Macaca mulatta: one gene and its partners. The main gene of each other region encodes a partner of the protein of the gene in region 3 in a complex. Links are inferred from orthologs where the notes say so. Each region holds a gene or a part of one and is shown on either strand. Other genes may lie near its edges.

What was found.
Region 1: VIRMA (region 3) and METTL14 share a complex: the UniProt entries of both Homo sapiens proteins name them as parts of the WMM complex. The link is inferred for Macaca mulatta from reciprocal best matches to the Homo sapiens genes VIRMA and METTL14.
Region 2: VIRMA (region 3) and RBM15 share a complex: the UniProt entries of both Homo sapiens proteins name them as parts of the WMM complex. The link is inferred for Macaca mulatta from reciprocal best matches to the Homo sapiens genes VIRMA and RBM15.

The regions. Positions count from the first base shown.
Region 1 is NC_133410.1:127,703,896-127,710,001, reverse strand, and holds the start of METTL14 (N(6)-adenosine-methyltransferase non-catalytic subunit METTL14), read right to left. Parts: upstream 3,847-6,106; 5' UTR 3,813-3,846; coding exon 3,747-3,812; exon of another isoform or gene 3,727-3,746; intron 3,650-3,726; exon of another isoform or gene 3,521-3,649; intron 1,478-3,520; coding exon 1,389-1,477; intron 9-1,388; coding exon 1-8. Other genes in the region: uncharacterized protein LOC144340831, read right to left, coding at 3,934-3,947. UniProt on the Homo sapiens protein: The METTL3-METTL14 heterodimer forms a N6-methyltransferase complex that methylates adenosine residues at the N(6) position of some mRNAs and regulates the circadian clock, differentiation of embryonic stem cells and cortical neurogenesis.
Region 2 is NC_133406.1:129,853,305-129,859,135, forward strand, and holds the start of RBM15 (RNA-binding protein 15), read right to left. Parts: upstream 3,677-5,831; 5' UTR 2,806-3,676; coding exon 1-2,805. UniProt on the Homo sapiens protein: RNA-binding protein that acts as a key regulator of N6-methyladenosine (m6A) methylation of RNAs, thereby regulating different processes, such as hematopoietic cell homeostasis, alternative splicing of mRNAs and X chromosome inactivation mediated by Xist RNA.
Region 3 is NC_133413.1:104,942,687-104,948,764, reverse strand, and holds the start of VIRMA (protein virilizer homolog), read left to right. Parts: upstream 1-2,730; 5' UTR 2,731-2,800; coding exon 2,801-2,863; intron 2,864-6,078. UniProt on the Homo sapiens protein: Associated component of the WMM complex, a complex that mediates N6-methyladenosine (m6A) methylation of RNAs, a modification that plays a role in the efficiency of mRNA splicing and RNA processing.

The DNA of each region.
Region 1 (6,106 bases), on a different chromosome or scaffold from region 3:
AGGAAGCCCTGAAAAATAAACAGAAATATTACTCACAAACATATACAAGATGCATAAAAGTATCTATTAATAATAATAATAAACAGATTATAAAAAAGAACAAGACAAAGTTTTCCTGATTAAAGAGTATCTATTTACCCAGTTTATAAGTCATCCAAAAAGTCAAATAACTTGATTGATAATTCTGTGCTTCATTTTCATGAGAAAGCAACCAAATGAGAAAATAAGCTGCTATAAGTGATATATTGAAAAGAAACTTATATAGTATGTATTATTTTAATCTGTTTTGAGCAAAACAGATGTCCAAATTGAAAACTAGAATAATGAAAAAATTTTCAAATGCTTTCTGAACTACCAAATAAATACCACTTTTAGGGTAAAGTATATTTCCTTTTATACAAATTTCTAGGCTGGGCATGGTGGCTCATGCCTGCAATCCCAGCACTTTGGGAGGCCGAGACAGGCGGATCACAAAGTCAAGAGATCGAGACCAGCCTGGCCAACATGATGAAATCCCATGTTTACTAAAAATACAAAAATTAGCTGGAAGTGGTGGCGCGCACCTGTAGTCCCAGCTACTTGGGAGGCTGAGGCAAGAGAATCACTTCAACCCTGGAGGCAGAGGTTGCAGTAAGCCAAGATCGCATCACTGCACTCAAGCCTGGTGACAGAGAAAGACTACGTCTCCAAAAAAAAAAAAAAAAAAAAAAAAAACTTAAATATACTTATTTATTTATAGTATATATGCTAATTTTTAGTCTAACATTCCATTTTCTAAGTACTTTACAAATGGGAACTTACTATCCTCAGAAAATAAATATTTCATAATTAATGAACTGACAATAAAAACCATTGTGTCTAAAATCATTATTTTGATGCTTTTCTCAATACACTGCACACCTACCTAGGGGTATCTGTTTATTAAAACAGTAATTCTTTCACAGTTTTTTTTTCTTTTTGAGATGGAGTCTCACTCTTGTCTCCCAGGCTGGAGTGCAGTGGCACAATCTTGGTTTAGCTCACTACAGCCTCCGCTTGCCGGTTTTAAGCAATTCTCCTGCCTCAACCTCCCAAGTAGCTGGGATTACAGGCGCCCGCCACCACGTTCGGCTAATTTTTGTATTTTTAGTAGAGACGGGGTTTCACCATGTTAACCAGACTGGCCTCGAACTCCTGACTTCCTGGGCTCAAATGATCCACCTGCCTCGGCACAGTGGCTCATACCTATAATCTCAGCACATTGGGAGGCCAAGGCAGGCGTACCACTTGAGCTCAGGAAGTCAAGGCTGCAGAGAGCCATGATCACTCTACTGCACTCCAACCTATCCAGCCTAGGTAACAGAGTGAAACCCTGTCTCACACACAAAAAAAAGAATTATTTGACTGACCTGCAAGTCTCTCTTGTTTCAGCAATTTCTCTCTGCTCATCTTTGCTATTTAACACGGCACCAATGCTGTCGGCACTTTCAGCTCCCAGCTGAGAAAAGGCAAAATCAGAAATTAGATTACAATGCATTGGACAGCCTTTCTAGACATTTGTAGCAGCATTTAATATATTAAATACTTAAAAAACAAAAACACCTTAATTCACATACACACAATAACAAAGAATTAATCAGCCTGCAAGACAAACTGGAAAAACCCTGGAAAAAAAACTGCATTAATTAAGAATGAGTTTGACAGCTGGCAAACATTTTATGCTTTCAGTTATACGGATGCTCCTTGATTTATGAGGTTATGTCCTGATAAACCCATTGTAAGTTGAAAGTAAATCTGTTTCAAAATAAACGTGGTAAGTGCGTTTTCAACTTATAGTATTTTCCACTTATGATGGGCTTATCAGGACATAATTCCATCATAAGTCATTGAGCAGCCTGGATGCCTATCACTTTCAAACCATCATAAAGTTGATTGTTAAGTCAAATCATAGTAAGTCTGGAACCATCTGTATTTGAAAATAAGACACTTTAGCCAAATTCCTGTAAAGTAATATACACGAATTAATATAGATTGAGCATTCCAAATCCGAAAATCCAAAATCCAAAATGCTCCAGAATCTGGAACTTTTTGAGTACTGACATGACATTCAAAGCAAATGGTCACTGAAGCATTCATATTTTGAAAACTTTTGATATTTGGCATGTTCAACCAGTAATATGCAAATATTCCAAATCCTGAAAAAAGTCTGAAATCCAAAACACTTCTGGCCCAAGCATTTCAGATTAAGAGATATTCAACCTGCAGTAGCAATAACCAAAAAAAGCAGGTAAGACTGTGTTTGCACAGGGTTGTGGGTACCATGTTAAACATTTTGTAGGCATCAGCTTATATAATGTAACTTATTTATGCTATGCTCTAATAAAAATCGATCCAGTTTTACTCAAGCTAAGTCTTACTATTTATGGACACAATGCTGAACTTCACTACCTTAAAACGGCAACATAAATTTTGTTTGGCAGTTGGGAAAATTTTGCAAAATACAAACAAATAATGGTTACAAGGCTAAGTAGAGTGCAACCAATTCATAAAAAAACTTTAAAAGCTGGAGCCCCTGGGATTTGTTGAGTGTAAAACACTCAACAAATAATTGTCCTATGAATGTATCTTGAGTGAAATAGAAATCTGAATTCCATATTAAGGAGTAAAACATCTGTGGTAGCAACAAAGAGCTACTGAATATTATTGAAGATAATACGATAAAAGAAGTTAGGGAAAAGAAGACTTAGAAAGGATATTTGATTTGTCCAAGATCGTAATGCCAGCGGGATAAGGAATAAATCTGATTCCAAGTTCCCACAGTTTCAGCAGTATACCACAAATGTGTTCATCAGATTTCAGAAGTCCATTTACTAAAACCAAGTTTACTGAAAAATAACAGCAAGATGACTAATTACAGTCTATGAGCATTTCTCCTACCACTTTTACTGATATGAATAGTAGAATTGAAAATACAGCCTCGATTTTAAGTAGAACTGTACACAAGCTGTATTTTCTGCTACTAATCAGCAAATGTTAACTTACTCATGCACAAGAAAGAAGTGAAGGGCAATGGTTTAGAAGATAAGCTTTGGGGAGACAACCTAGGTTCTATTTCCCAGCCGAGAAGTGAGCGACCAGGAGTAAAATTCCTTAACCTATGGAGCCTATTTCATTACTTGATAAGTGAAGGTAATACTACCTGTTTCAGGAGATTATTGTGACTAACACAGAGTAAGATTTCAAATATTAACTGTGGATGTGACAAGGATATTGTACATAAGACGCAGAATATAAAATTTACACTCAGACTACTTCCAGTGTAGTCTTCAGAAAGATGTCAAAGAAAATACTGTAAACTGTAAAAATATTTCATAATGAAACCACAATTTCAAGGATTTGGGACTGACGACGAGGAAAAGTAAGAAATAGATGACCAGTTAAATAGTGAAGAGAAATGTAGGGAATAACAAGACACTCATCGTGGCGTGAACATGCCAGACACTCGGTGGGCGTTCCACAAAGGTTAAAGGCTATTCGTGGCATTCGGTTTAGCACCACAAAGACCGCGGAAGGAACTTGAAAAACATTCGGGGCACCACGAAAATTGAGAACTACAAAGGGAGAACCAGGGATCAGGATCGAAGGACCAGAAAGGCCTTAACAGCGGCAGGTAGAGAGGGGACAGAAAAAGGCGGGGTGTGGAGGGAGGAGGCGGCCGCGCACTCGCATTCTCGATCCCTCCCACAGGGGCCACCAGGGCCGCGGACCTGCTGCGCGAGGAGCTGTCGCCGTAACTTCTGCCGCTCCCGGATCTCCTGCAAGCGGCTATCCATGTTCCAACTCCTACTTTTCACTACCCCGAGTACTTGTCAATCGCCACTGAACTCTTGTCCCAACCTTTCTTCCGAGTCTGTGGAACGCTATATTCACCGTGAGCTTATGAACAGAGTATCCTCAAAGCTTTCCTCAGTAGGGACTTCCGGCGCGGCCGATATGGCTTGCTTGGCCCGGAAGTCCCGCCTCCTTCTGGACGCTTGCGATGTGACGCCACTTGGAAGGGACCCAGTAAGGGATCTGTTGCGTTACAGGGGTGTCCAGGGCCGTCGCGGGCTGGGGTGGTCTGAGCTAGTCTGAAGGAGTAGTCAGCTGACTTCTCCTTTCTCTCTCTTCCCCGGGATAGCAGGTTCCCTTGGTGTATCACAGTTTCTGAAGTATTGATTCCCTTTTCAGTTGATTCCACAGATGACAGTCCTAACGTTTAAAAAAATTGCCAGATACCTTTAATTATTATTATTATTTTTTAACAGAACAGGAACTTAAGGCAGATTGCCTAGGATTGAACCTTGGCCTCTCACTTCTTAGCCAAGTGGCCTTGGCTAGTTAAACACCTTCGTGAGCCTCAATTTTCTCATCTGTAAAATGGGAGTCGTAAGTGTCTACCTCACAGAGCTGTGATTGAAAGCGTAAACAGCACCTGGCACATAGCGCTGTAGAAGTGCTTATTATTGTTAATATTTTATTTACCTTCACGCAGGTAACAGCCACAACATCTGCCCATTCTTACCCACACCTTACTGTCCCTTGAAATGTTTCCTATTTTACTATAGTAGACATTTTATGGCTTCTTCCCTTTAGAGAAATGAGTGTGTGATAGTAAAGTGTGTCTTGGTTTATGCCCTAGGAGTCAGAAGCTAAGGCACTCCTTTTTGTGCTTGTACATTTGTCTTAACTGAAAATAACCTAAGGATAAGGAAACGAATAGCTTCCTGAAATTACTCGGATTGCTGGGGTGAGGGGTGAGGGCTGGAGGGTGGTGATTCTGTCGTCATAGGAAGGCAGCAAAGGCCAAAGTCGTATTTGAGTTATTACCATTATTATTCACCACATTTGCCATCTTATTTCAAACTTACAATGGCGGAAGTGGACTAAGACATCATGTTGCCTCAAGTTTAATTGGAAATCGTGGTAAGTACTTACCAAAATTAGTAACAAGTCTGTTCTTTGAGAGTGGATTTAATTTTCAGAAATAATATTAAGTCATCCAGATCAAAACCAGTAGAACTAGATTCTACTAGTCATGCCCACTTTTATAGAAATAATTATAATGTATTTCTCAAGAACTAGGTCTGAAAGGCAATTTTGAACGAGTAGTCCTAAACAATTCCTTGAGTAATGTCAGCACTATTTGGATACTGTAAAACATTTATGTCCATATGCGTTAATTTCTTTAAAAATCGGTTGTATTACCTGGCAATCATTTAAGTTGAATACTGATTTAAATTTTACCAATGGTAAGAACAGGCATTTATTCACTTAAATATCTGTTGATATTGATTGAGCATTTTATATGGCAAGCACTGTGATAGGCCCTAGAGTCTATAAAGTCCGTCAAAGATTAAAAACCAAAGAAGTCAGTTTTTCTTTATGGAGTTTACTGTCTAATGGAGGATTTTTTTTTTTTTTTTTTTTCCCTGAAAAGGTGCTATGCAGGTTACTTGCCTGTAATCTTTGAACCCCATACTCTCCTACCCTCTGCTTCGAGATGATGGCTAGGCAGGGAGTCCACAAACTACATTTCCCAGCCTTCTTTGTTAGATGGCTTCCTGTGAGACTCTGCCCACAGGAGGCACAGGCAGGAAATCAAACGGCTCCTCCAAACATTCACATTACCCTTTTGTGTCTCTGCCCTCTGAGGAACTAGCCAGGTCTAGCTCTTTGGATTTTCCAAATGAGAGGTCAACACATCGATCTCCCCGAGACCTTAAGTTCTTCTAGTGGTCTCTTTAAGCTTCCTCTCTTGAATTAGGGTGAAAAGGGACTTCCTTGAGGAGAGGGGTGGTATCGCAGCCTAACAATAATTTGCAAAAATTTTCTCTTCCAGCCTCTAATTCTCAACCAGTGTAGACTTTCAAAGTGGGTAATGTAATTTAAAGCCTTACAGCCAGTTATGCTCTACTTCTTCTACAAGTCCTACAACCAGGTGGTCTCAATCCTCACTTGCAAAAACTGCATTTACTCACCTCATGCCCTAGCCAAAACTTCCACAACAAATTCTATGGTGCATTTAAGTGAAAGATGTTATTTTATAGATAGATAGATAGATAGATAGATAGATAGATAGATAGAT
Region 2 (5,831 bases), on a different chromosome or scaffold from region 3:
GGAATCCAGGAACTGCTGGGAGAACTCACAAGGTGGGAAGGCATGAAGGACCCCGGTGTTTTCCTTGTCTTTGTTGCCCCCCACAGGGAGGCTGATCACCCCGGCTGCCTGCTTTTGCTTTAAATAGGACACAAGGTTCCTAAGTGGCCTCTGAGTAGAAGTGGCAGTGTCTGATGCAGCTGAGGAAGAGGAAGACCGGCTGTCAGAACTTCCAGGCACAGCCAGAAGAATGGCATAACCATTGGGCCCTGCTACTTTGATGCGTCGAGTTACTTCATCCAACTTGGGCTGGTCCAAACGGAGACGCTGAGTGATCTTGAGCTGGGCCACTTTGCCTCCAGTTGAACCCTCCACAAGAAGACTACTAGCCACTTGGAGGTCACCCTGCAACAGATGCATGTTGGAAGGAAAGTTGCTGTTCTTCAGTAGAAGCATGCCCTGCCAGGCCAAACAGAGTTTGGGAGAGGCTGCTGCCGCAGGGGCTGTCCCCCCATCCTGTTTCTGGGACGGGGACTTCAGCTTGCAGGAAGCAGTGCTGGTGCTAGGTGCACTCCCATCAGAGCGGTCTTCTTTTTTCAGAGGGCTTTTTCCCTCAGTGGGAGCAGTTGTCCGGTGCTTCCTATCTCGTTCAGCTGATGCAGAGTTTTTACGGTCTCGCTTGTCACCCTGGCTCTTCTCCAAACTACCTCGTCTGTCTCTGATTGGAGAGGGCCTTTCCAAGAGAAGACGGGAAGATCGATCATTGTCGCTGTTGTAACGATCCCGGCTACTGCTCAATTCTGGACTGCGGTCAGGAGAAGGAGCGCAGTGACGTTTTCGTGGGCGGTCACTCTCAGGAGACCTATCCAGATGACGTCCTCCACTCTCCTCAGGCAGCCTTCGCTTCCTAGGCTGGTCTCTGCTGCTGGGCAGATCTCGATCACCTCTGTCCCGGTCCAAGGACCAACCATCCCGCCTGCGATCAAGGCTATCCAGTGGCTCGTAAGCAGGCACAGAAGTAGCTGCAGTCCGAGTGCTGCGTTCTCGGACTGGGGGTGGGGGTGGCACCCAATCAGAGTCAGGATAAAGGTCCCTATCACGATCTCTGTATAGTAAGGGTGGTGTCCTATCCCGAGCACCCCTCAAAGGGTCAGGTGCCCGATGTCCAAAAGCATCTGTCACCAGCTCATAATGAGTCAAGGGCAGAGGCTGCAGATACTGCTGCTGGTAACGATGTTCGGTGTCGGCAAAGTCTACTCTAAGGCGTCGATCTGGGCCACCAAGTGGGAAGCCCCGCATATGGGTCCAGGCAGCATGCGCTGCATCCAGGCTTTCATACTGGATATATGCCCAACTATCACCTTTTCGGTAGTCTATGGTGCGTATGGTGCCAAATCGATCAAATTCTCGTGCCAGGGCAGCAAGAGGAACCCAAGGTCCCAGGCCTCCCACCCAGAGGCGGGTGGTAGGTGTAGCTTTACCATAACCAATTTTGATAGGATTCCGAATTATAATTTTGCCGGACATTGCTAATTTGGCCCGGTGAGACATATCTAAGTTCTCAAATTTGAGAAAGCCGTAAGTACTAGTCTGGCCGCGAGAAGGCCTCTTGATATCTACTTCTGTGATGACTCCAAAGCGATCAAACGCCCTTCTTAGATCATTCTCCGTTACAGTGATGTCTAGGTTGCCCAAGAAAAGCGTCCGGTTAGCTCGCTGATCATCCTCGGGTGAAATCTCATCCACTTCTCTGAAAGGAGCAGCACCTGCTCCAGCTCCCACCCTTGGCTCAAGACTGTATGCAGGGCGCACTCTCTCATAGAACGGGTAGTCTCTTTCTCTCTCCAGCTCTCGAGGCAATGGTGGCGGAGGTGGAGGGGGCAGGCGGCCAAGAGCCAACTGCTGCAGCCGGTAGTCTCTGTATCCTAAAGCAGCGCCACCAGGGGAAAGTGATCTCTGGCCTCCACCACCTCCAGGGGGGTGCCGGTGACCACCTACAGAGGCCCCGACCACGCTGGCTGAAGGAGGATAAGTATCTTTGTCTAAAGGGGAGCGGCTGCGGCGCCGGCTCACATACACAGCTTCTATCTTCAGAGGCCGGTCATAGAGCACCAGGCGGCCTCTGGCATGCTTGGCCGCCCGCGCGTCCTCTGGCCGCCGGAAGTTCACAAAGGCTACCCGCTCATCCCCGCTGCCAGAACCCGACAGATGACTGATTTTGACACTTACATCACCGAAACGTTTGAACTCATGAAACAGGCCGTCCTCCACCGCTTCGTCACTAAGCTGGGACCCCAACTCGCTTATCTTCAGAGTCTTGTATTCCGCGCCGTCCCCGCCGCCGGGAGCTGAGGAGGCGGCCCCAGAGGAACGTGACTCCCCGCCTCCACCCCGGGAGCTGCTGCGCGACTCGCCCCCGCCCGAAGAATTTTTGGTGCTCGGGGAGCTATAACTATGCAAGCGGCTACTGGAGCTGCCCCCACCGGTGTCATACTCGCGGCTGCCACCTCGACTGCTGGACTTGTCCAGGTGGAGACTCCGCCGCGACCCGCCGCCGCTATCGGTCTTTCCGCTGCTGCTCCCATTGCTGCCACCAGAGCCCCCTAACTTCTTGCTCCGCTCTCCGCGGGAAGTCGAGTCCTCACCACCACGGGAGCGTTTGGCCTTGACTGGCGAGCGCTCTTTTCCCTTCATTGTTGCGGGTCCTCGGAGGTCGTCTCCGCGGAGCTGATCAACCCGCCGCCCCGCGCTCGTTTCACACAGCGGAACCGCACGCCGCCATCTTGGACTCCGCCGCGGCACAGGGTCCCGCCCCGCAGTCCTCATTGGCCAATTAGCTCTCTCTTCTACAGTCTCATTGGGAAAATTATTTGTCTATCTTTACATCTCCCCGCGCTCCAGGAAGGCGCCCGCCCAACCACTGTTATTGGGTTCCCAACCCCCTAGTCAGAGTACCTCATTGGTTACATTTGTTGTCTATCTTAACGGTTCCTCGCGCCAGGCTGTAGCTCCGCCCCTCGCACTCTGCGGTCACGTGACCCAAAGTGTAGCTGTGTTGATTGGACAAAAAGTCTGCCCTGTAACGGTACTTCTTGCTCAGTGAAAGCAGCAACCCCGCCTCCTCATCCCTTTCATTGGCTTATAAACCCGTCCTTTAAACCACTATTTGGGAGGTGGGGCCAAGTTTCGGCGTTTTTTCGAGAGGCAGGCTCACAGCGATATCGCGAGAGACGGTGAGCTCCCTCTTTCGACCCCCTTTTTCCAACTCCTCCGGCGGCTAAAAGAAGTTTAAATCTGATTGGATGTCTGCAAGGAAGTTGATAGGCTGAAGTAACTGTCCATCACTCGCTTAAAGGGGTAGGCCCATATAACGGAGGAGGCTGACTGAAGGTGAAAGACTAGAACACGTGCTTGCTATGCGACGTCACTTAGATGTCGCGAGAGGGTGACTGTGCGCCAGCCCCGCCTCCCCGCGTTTTTGGCGTTCTCCCCACAAACATTTGTTAAGTTCCGTGGGGTATTTGGCTGTGCTTCGGCCCTTGGAGTTCGAAACTTCTGAGCTCCCCGCCGTCCTACCTGTGCCGGCCAAGGGGCGGGGCAGACTCTCCGGCTGTCGGGGCCCTCCAGTCCCTTAGGAAGCCGTCCTGGGACGCCTAGCGGACACCATCTTATGTCGCTGTGGTAGCTGAGTGTACAGCCGGGGGAAGCCCCGCCCCCCGCGCGCGGGATAGCGATGCCCGCGGTCACCTGGGCCCGCGGGGCAGGGAGTTCACGGTTCCTGCAGCCCCGGGTCACGCTGACGCCCCGGGGCGGTGCTAACACGTAACACGCGGGACCTCGAGAGCTAAGTAAGGTGGCTGAGACGCAGCCCTAGCCCAGGAGCTTGTCTCCCCCCGGCGCTCCCCGTTGCCGCCCAAGTACTCTGGGCAACCGAGGGGAGTGACCGTCGATCCCCGCCTCGTGGCCCGCGGGCGGAGCCGGAACTGTCAGGACACCGCGGACGTGTCTTTGGGCTGCCTGTTTTATGTTGCGAATCTGTGTGGATTTTTAAATCCGGTATTCCCGTAAAATAGCAATGTTTGTTTTTAATATGTAATGCTTCTTCCCTGAAAATCATCGAGCGAAATTTAGGCTCCATGCAGATATGTCGCTTTTTATTCCCCCTGTGGCTTCTTGTATTCCTTGGCACTCCTCTTTTTGTGTGTTAAAAGCCAGCAGCACAGGCACCTTGTGGCCGCTCCGGATCCACTTCGTTTGGCTCCTTCTGTCGTTCGCCTTACAACTTTAATTTCCATAGAGCGTTACTGTGGCGGACAGAGCACCTGTGAGAGGTGCAGGCGATGCCGAGCTTAGGGGGATATGGCCTGTGCCCCAGCACTCGCCGGTTGCTGCAGGGACGCAGCGCTGAGGTCACCACATCCTTTAGACCGTCTGCAGCTCTCCCGGGTATGCGCCGGGGCGGAGGTTATATTGATCCCGTCCTCAACCCTATTTCCCAAGATCCAATCTATAGTAGAGGTGTGAGGTGTTTTTAAACATGACATTTTTCAGGATAACAATAATGTCCCAAAAGCTGAAACCTAAACTTGAAAACTGTTAATATTAGGAACTGTAACCTAAATTTAGCCTTGGCTGAGCCATCCTTCTTTTTGTAAATAATCCTGAGGAATATGAAGCTGTAGGCCTTTTATCTCTTGAATAAATCAAAGAAACTTGAAGGAAGAAGCTCAATTGTAAAGCATAAAAATCCACAATATTGTAATGTGTAGACATATTCATTGTATTAAAATAGGAAATAAAACTTCAGAAGGCATAAAATAACGTGTATAATACGCTACCATTTGTGGTTTTAAAAATATTTGTATTTTATGAGTATGTACATTTAAAAATATTTTCGTGGAAACTTTCTTGACAACTACGTGGGAAATTGTTCCTAGGATTGCCCTGAGGAGGGGTGTAAGGATCTGGAGTCGGAGGGAGACTTCACTTTTCTTTGTAGAAATCTTTTGTTTCTACAAAGGGCGCGCTATTACTCCTTCAGTTTAGAAAATAACATTTTTAACTTTCCTTAAACTATTTTTATGGAAAAAGTTTAAAATACATAAAAGAATAAAGAACTCCCACGTGTACCCAACACCCTACTTCAACAATTATCAAATCATGTCAATCTTGTTTCATCTGCATCACTCTTCCCACTCTTCCTTTCTCCATTGTTTTCTGCAGACTTACCTGATATACATTTCCTGCCCCAGTTGTGGAGTCAGCCATTTCTCCAGAGAGCTCTGGTTCCTTTTAGTGGGAAATGGTATTTAAAGATAAAAATCTGGATGCTGGAGGATAAAAAATACATGAACATATTATTTGTAAAAGCATGAAATAAAAGAAAAAGTTTTACCTGGGTTTAAATGTTTCAGGGTTATATTAATAGACCACAAATGGAAATTGAAGTTAAGCCATTATCTAATTACTCAATATAACAGTCAATTGAGATAATAAACCAGGCACTAGAGTGACTTTTTAACCTAAATTGACCTGCTAAGGTGACTCACTGATCAAAGAAAAAGATAATGACCAAATCAGTAGTTTTCCAGACCTCATGATAGGGGTTGAGGGAGCACAAGATTTGAGAGAAATAATTCAGGGAGACAAGCAGACACCCAGTCTGTGTGAACATGCACCAGAGGCATGCCAAGCTTAGTGGCTTGCCACTTCAAATACCGGAGAGCTTGATGGAAGCTACTGCCCGCGGCTGGCTATAGTACAAAGGCTTGCCGAGGGGGACTGAAAATCTGCCTGGAGCCAAGAGGACTAGTAAGTTTTATGCTTAGATGGAAAAGGCCTAGATTCTATTA
Region 3 (6,078 bases):
TGGTCTCGAACTCCTGACCTTCTGATCCGCCTGCCTCGGCCTCCCAAAGTGTTGGGATTGTAGGCGTGAGCCACTGCGCCCGGCCGAGGGGCACGCTTCTTGAAGTCCACTCCATGGATGTGTTTGTGAATGCTGATGGTGTATTCTCGGGTCACCACCTCGTTGATGGCAGAACTGCCCTTTTTCTTCTTGCCACCCTTCTTTGCAGGAGCCATTCTGCCAGGCCCAAACTGGAAAGGAAGGCAACAAAAGTTTTTTGAAAAGTTATTTATACAACTTTTCTCTACTCCTCGGTTCTTATTTACCCGTAAAAATTCTATTTTTGCTGGGTGCGGTTGGCTCACACCTCTAATTCCAGCACTTTGGGATGTCCAGGCGGGTGGATCATGAGGTCAGGAGATTGAGACCATCCTGGCTAACACGGTGAAACCTCCTCTCTACTGAAAATACAAAAAATTAGCCAGGCATGGTGGTGGGCACTGTCTGAGGTCAGGAGTTCAAGATCAGCCTGGCTAAAATTGAAACCCCATCTCTACTAAAAATACAAAAATTAGCTGGGCATGGTAGTGCACGACTGTAGTCCCAGCTACTCAAGAGGCTGAGTCAGGAAAATTGCTTCAACCAGGGAGGCAGAGGGTGCATTGAGCACCCTCATTGCTCAGGTGGTGGGTGCACCAAAACCTCAGAAATCACCACTAAAGAACTTTTCCATGCAACCAAACACCACCTGTTCCCTCAAAACTATTGAAATAAAAATAAAAATAAAAATGTAAAAACAAAAGGGTATCAAAGCTAAGAAAATCAGACTGTAAAATGACAACAATAAAAGCACTATATAGTACATTGGTTAAGGCAGAGCTTAGGGGAAAATTCATATACATAAATACATATAGTAATAAATAAAAATATGAATAAAAATAAACATCAGTGGTAGAAATTAGAAAGAGAACAGCATATAAGCCTAAACACAGAAGAAGGGGCGGGGCAGGGTAGCTCACGCCTATAATTGCAGCACTTTGGGAGGCTGAGGCAGGAGGATTGCTTGAAGCCAAGAGTTTGAGACCAGCCTGGGCAACAAAGCAAGACCCTGTTTCTAAAGAAAAAAAAAAGCAAGAATCAGAAAACAGAAAAATATTAGAAACAACAAATATCAATGCAACAACAAATAATAAAAGATAAACTATAGCTAGCTAATAGAGGAAACTGGATGGCTGAGGAAGGATGTGGATAGGAGATTTACTTTAGAAACTCATTTATTATTAAATATTTCAGACATACCAGAAGGTACAAACAATAATGTAAGGCATGCTTGTGAAATGAACACTAACCTAAATAATAAAACATTACCAAGGCATGTGAAGCCTTTCTGTTCTTCTCCATTACATCTCCCTCCAGTTCACCACTACCTTGAAATTTTAGTCATTCCAATGCATGACTTTATAATTTCATGACATATGTACACTCCTAAACATTTATATTCTTTCCCACGTTAATTATATAAATGTTATTTTACATTATATATTTTTTATTTCCTTTTCTAAGAGATGGGTGTCCCCACTGGCTGCCAACTCCTGGGCTTAAGAGATTCTCCTGTCTCAGCTTCCCCGAGAAGTTGGGACCACAGGAACACGCCACCGCACCCGGCTTGCGATGAGGTGTGTTAAACTTGTTTTGTTTAGGTTTTTGTCTTTTTTGTTTTTCCTTTTTGTGAAGAACGGGGACTCGCTATATTGCCAGTTCTCCAGCTCCTGGGCCCAAGCGATCCTCCCGCCTCATCCTCCCTAAGTGCTGGGATTACAGGCGTGAGCCAACGCGCCCGCTAACCCTGTTTTTTGGGATTTTTCATGCTAGTAAATATAGTACTAGTTCATTCTTCGTACCTGCTATATACTATTATATAAATACGCCACTGTTTAGTTATTACTTCTGTCAATGGCACTTATGTTTCCTGTTCTTTTGCAACTTACGAAGTTTGCTATGAATATTCTTGTATTTGTAGATACGTGGGCGAGAATTTTCCTAGAAGAGGGGTAGGCACGTGTAATTTTACAAGCTATTTCCTAGTTGCTCTGCTAAGGGTTTGTGCCGTTTAGACTACCAAACCGCCGTGTTTATCTCGTTGCTCAAAAGCTCAACACCCGACACGAGAGGCTTACTTTTCATTCTGCCTCCTGTTTTATTGTTCCTGGTACTTCACGTTATACAATTCCTCGATTTTTATTTCAATTACTCCTCACAATCAGCCTGTGGGTTAAGTACGATTTTTCACATTTTACAGATAAGAAAACAAAGAATCTCTTCATTTGTTGAGACAACAGTTTTTCTTCTATTTAAATCAATGTCTTACTTTTCAACCTCGCTCACTGTTATCTTTTTGCTCCCAGCGCTGGAAAAAGTGGGACATCCCCTTCGGTGGGTGTACGGGGTTGGTATCCAAAGTTGGCAGCTTTCCCTCCCCTTCCTCCACCCTCTCCAAAACCCCGTCTCCGCGCTTCGCCACCCGGGGACAGCTGTGGCTCTGTAAAGCGGCGGAACGACAGGGTTTGAACCACTGGAGACCCCGTAGTTCCCATCTCGCTTCCCTCTGCCCCCCTCTGCGTCTGGGGGCGCCCGCCGCCGCGCTGGAAAAGGCGGGGCCGGCAACTTTGGGCAACAAGATGCGTTGGGATAGGCCGAGGTTTGCGGCGCTAGTGCTCTGGTCACCGGAAGTGCCGCTGTTTCTCCCTCTCCTGAGCCGCTGTGGCCGAGGCTGGAGCGCTGCCCCGGAAGTTCTCCCCCCTGTTCCCCGCCCGCGGCAAACATGGCGGTGGACTCGGCGATGGAGCTGCTATTTTTAGATACTTTTAAACACCCGAGCGCTGAGGTAAGGCTTGGCGACTTGATTCTGACGCTGCTTCTCGACTTGGGACCTTTACAAAAAAACCGTTGGGCGTCCTCGACTTTTCCCTCTGCAGATTACTTCTTTAATTTCTCGCTTACACACAGACACCCTCCCCCGAGCGGTGTGAGCATCGCGTCTGAGGGAGGGCTGCAGCAGCCTCTTCATTTCCTTGCTTTAACTTGGACCTTCCGTGTCTTTGGTCGAGTTGGCTTTTCTGCTTGCATGGCTTTATTTTTTGTTTTTCCTATCAGGTTTGGGCCGTGAGAAGGATCAGGGTTCTCAGGTTTACCTCAGATGGCATTTGGGAGGGGTCTTGATTTGACAGTAGTGTTTGACAGTACTGCCGGAGTCTGAGCAGCTTACGTTGGCTTCGTGGTTTCCGAATCACGATGTTTCTAAACCCTTTCTCTTTGGCTCCTTTTCTGTCGGGAGTTATGTTCCCCAGTTGTGACACTCATTCGGTTTAGGATTACGGTGCTCTCTAATTTGGCCTGAAACTTTAATACTTGTCTCTCGGAAAGATTTCACACATTAGGAATGAGATGCATTCACGGAGAATACTTGCGAAGAGGGGAGCATTGAGAGAAGTATAGTTAAACTCATCCGCAGACATGTCTTTTGAGGGCGGGGGCGGAATGTTGTGGAGTAATATTTCTGTACAAAATTATTTGAACGCCCCTGAATGTACAATTGACCCAGCAATATGTAAATTAAACATAGCTGGTTAACTAAAGATTCCTGAAAGCAGACCAAAAATGAACTCGAATGAAGTCTACGGAGAAATTGTTCCCCCCCCCCAAAAAAAAGTGGACTTCACATTTCTCTGTCTTAATGTAAGCTTAATCAATTTACAGAACTGTTCTTTCTTTGGATATTATTTTTTTCCTTTTATTTGTGTCAAGTGTGTTCTTGTATCAAGCTTTTTGAGGATACATATAATTTCTTTTCTTCTCAGTTGTATCTCCAGTGCCTCTGTTAGCAAAACGTAGGTGCTCAATAAATATTTGGATGGAAAATGTTTAAAATGTTCTTTCTTTTGCAAGATAGTAATGATAGTGGGTAGTGGTTGTATCATAATGCTTTACCTGGCAAAATAGAAAGTTGACAGCTGTGATCTAATTTAACGAATGGTTTATAGGTTTATAAAAGTCAAAATTTGGAGAACTTCGAGTTAGCATTTCTTACTGACAATTAATTTATGGTCTCACATTTCATGTGGGTCAGTGTCAGTTAGCACTGTTTGTTCAATGACTATATCTCTCTGACATTCCAGCCAAGATTTAGAAAACCCTCAATGGAGACAGTAGTTGGATCAGATCAAACTTATCATGTGTATAGAAATAGAGGACAGTTAAATTTGAAGGAGCCTGGCGCAGTGGCTCATGCCTGTAATCTCAGCGTTTTGGGAGGCGGAAGCAGAAGGATTGTTTGAGTCCAGGAGTTTGAGACCACTCTGGGCAACATAGTGGAACCCCCGTCTCTACAAAAGAAAATTAACTAGCTGTGGTGGCTTGATGCTGTTGCCCCAACTACTCAGAACGCTGAAGTGGAAGGATCACTTGAGCCTGGGAGGTCGAGGCTGCCGTGAGATAAGATCACACCACTGTGCTCCAGCCGGAGCAACAGAGTGAGACCCTGTTTCGAAAGAAAGAAAGAGAAAGAGAAAAAAAAGAGAAAGAGGCATATGATGAATTAGTTTAGTACTATTCTAGTTTAGGAAAATTGGCCTTCATTAGTTTATCATATATTTAATCTATTCTTTTATTCATTCTTAGGTAAACATTGAGTACCTTGAGCGCATAGGGCAGATGGTAAATACCTTCTTCTGGGGTGATTGGGGAAGGCTTAGTAGAGATCACATTTGAATCAAGTCTTGAAGGAGGAAGTAGGGGTTTGTGGGTGATATGAAATATTGAAATGTTTGTTTTCAAGAAGTTATAACCCAGTGTTGGAGATTAGATCCACAAAATTGTGATTTGAGTTAGAATGTGATGATCGCATAAAGAAACACAGTGTGAATTCATTGGGGTTTATCATCTTTGTTTACAAAATGCCCATCAGTAGCTGACATATTAGAACTAGCTGTCTTTGTGGGTATAAATAAAGGATACATGATTTCAGAGGAGGCAGAGATAACTTTTCATTTGAGAGTATCAGGAAAGACTTCATCAAGGTGTTTGGCTTATGAACTTGGTCTTTGGTGAAAGGGGCAATATTTCACGGTTGTAGTTAGGAAAGGAGGGCATTCTACTGGAGTAGTCAGTCATCTGTTAGGATATGCTTGAAGTAGCAGTGTGAAGTGGCACCCAAGGCAGTTCAGAGACAGATCATGGAGCTCCTTGAATGCTCAACAAAAAATTATGGACTTTAGGCCAGGCGCGGTGGCTCAAGCTTGTAATCCTAGCACTTTGGGAGGCTGAGGCGGGTGGATTGCCTGATGTCAGGAGTTTGAGACCAGCCTGGGTAACACGGTGATACCCGTCTCTACTAAAATACAAAAAATTAGCCGGGCATGGCGGTGTGCGTCTGTAGTCCCAGCTACTCAGGAGGCTGAGGCAGGAGAATTGCTAGAACCCGGGAGATGGAGGTTGCTGTGAGCCAAGATCGCGCCACTGCACTCCAGCCTGCACGACAGAGCAAGACTCTGTCTCTTAAAAAAAAAAAAAAAAAAAAAGGACTTTTTTTTGTAGGAAATGGGTAGTTTTTGAGCAGGCAAATCATACAATTAGTAAGATACATTGGGTAGATTACTTGATCAATAATGCTTAAAATGGTTCAGAGAAAATAGACGTAAGGTGACAAAATCAGGGAGAAAAAGTGAGATGTTATGAAAACCTGAGTTAGCCAATGGGCAGCAATCATTGTTTAACATTTATTGAATGCCTAATTTGTGCCAGACACAGTGGGCTTTGATAACTTAAGTAAATCATCTCTGGTCCTTCCATCAGTTTTTCTTCTTTTTTTTTTTTTTTTGAGACTAGGTCTTGCTCTGTCACCCAAACTGGAGTGCAGTGCTGCGATCACGGCTTACTGCAATTTCTGCCACCGGGGCTCAATCGATCCTTCCATCTCTGCCTCCCGAGTAGCTGGGACTACAGTTGTGCACCAACACGCCTGGCTAATTTTTTAGTTTTTTTGTGGAGGTGGTGTTTTGCCATGTTGCCCAGGCTGGTCTTGAATTCCTGAGCTCAAGCGAT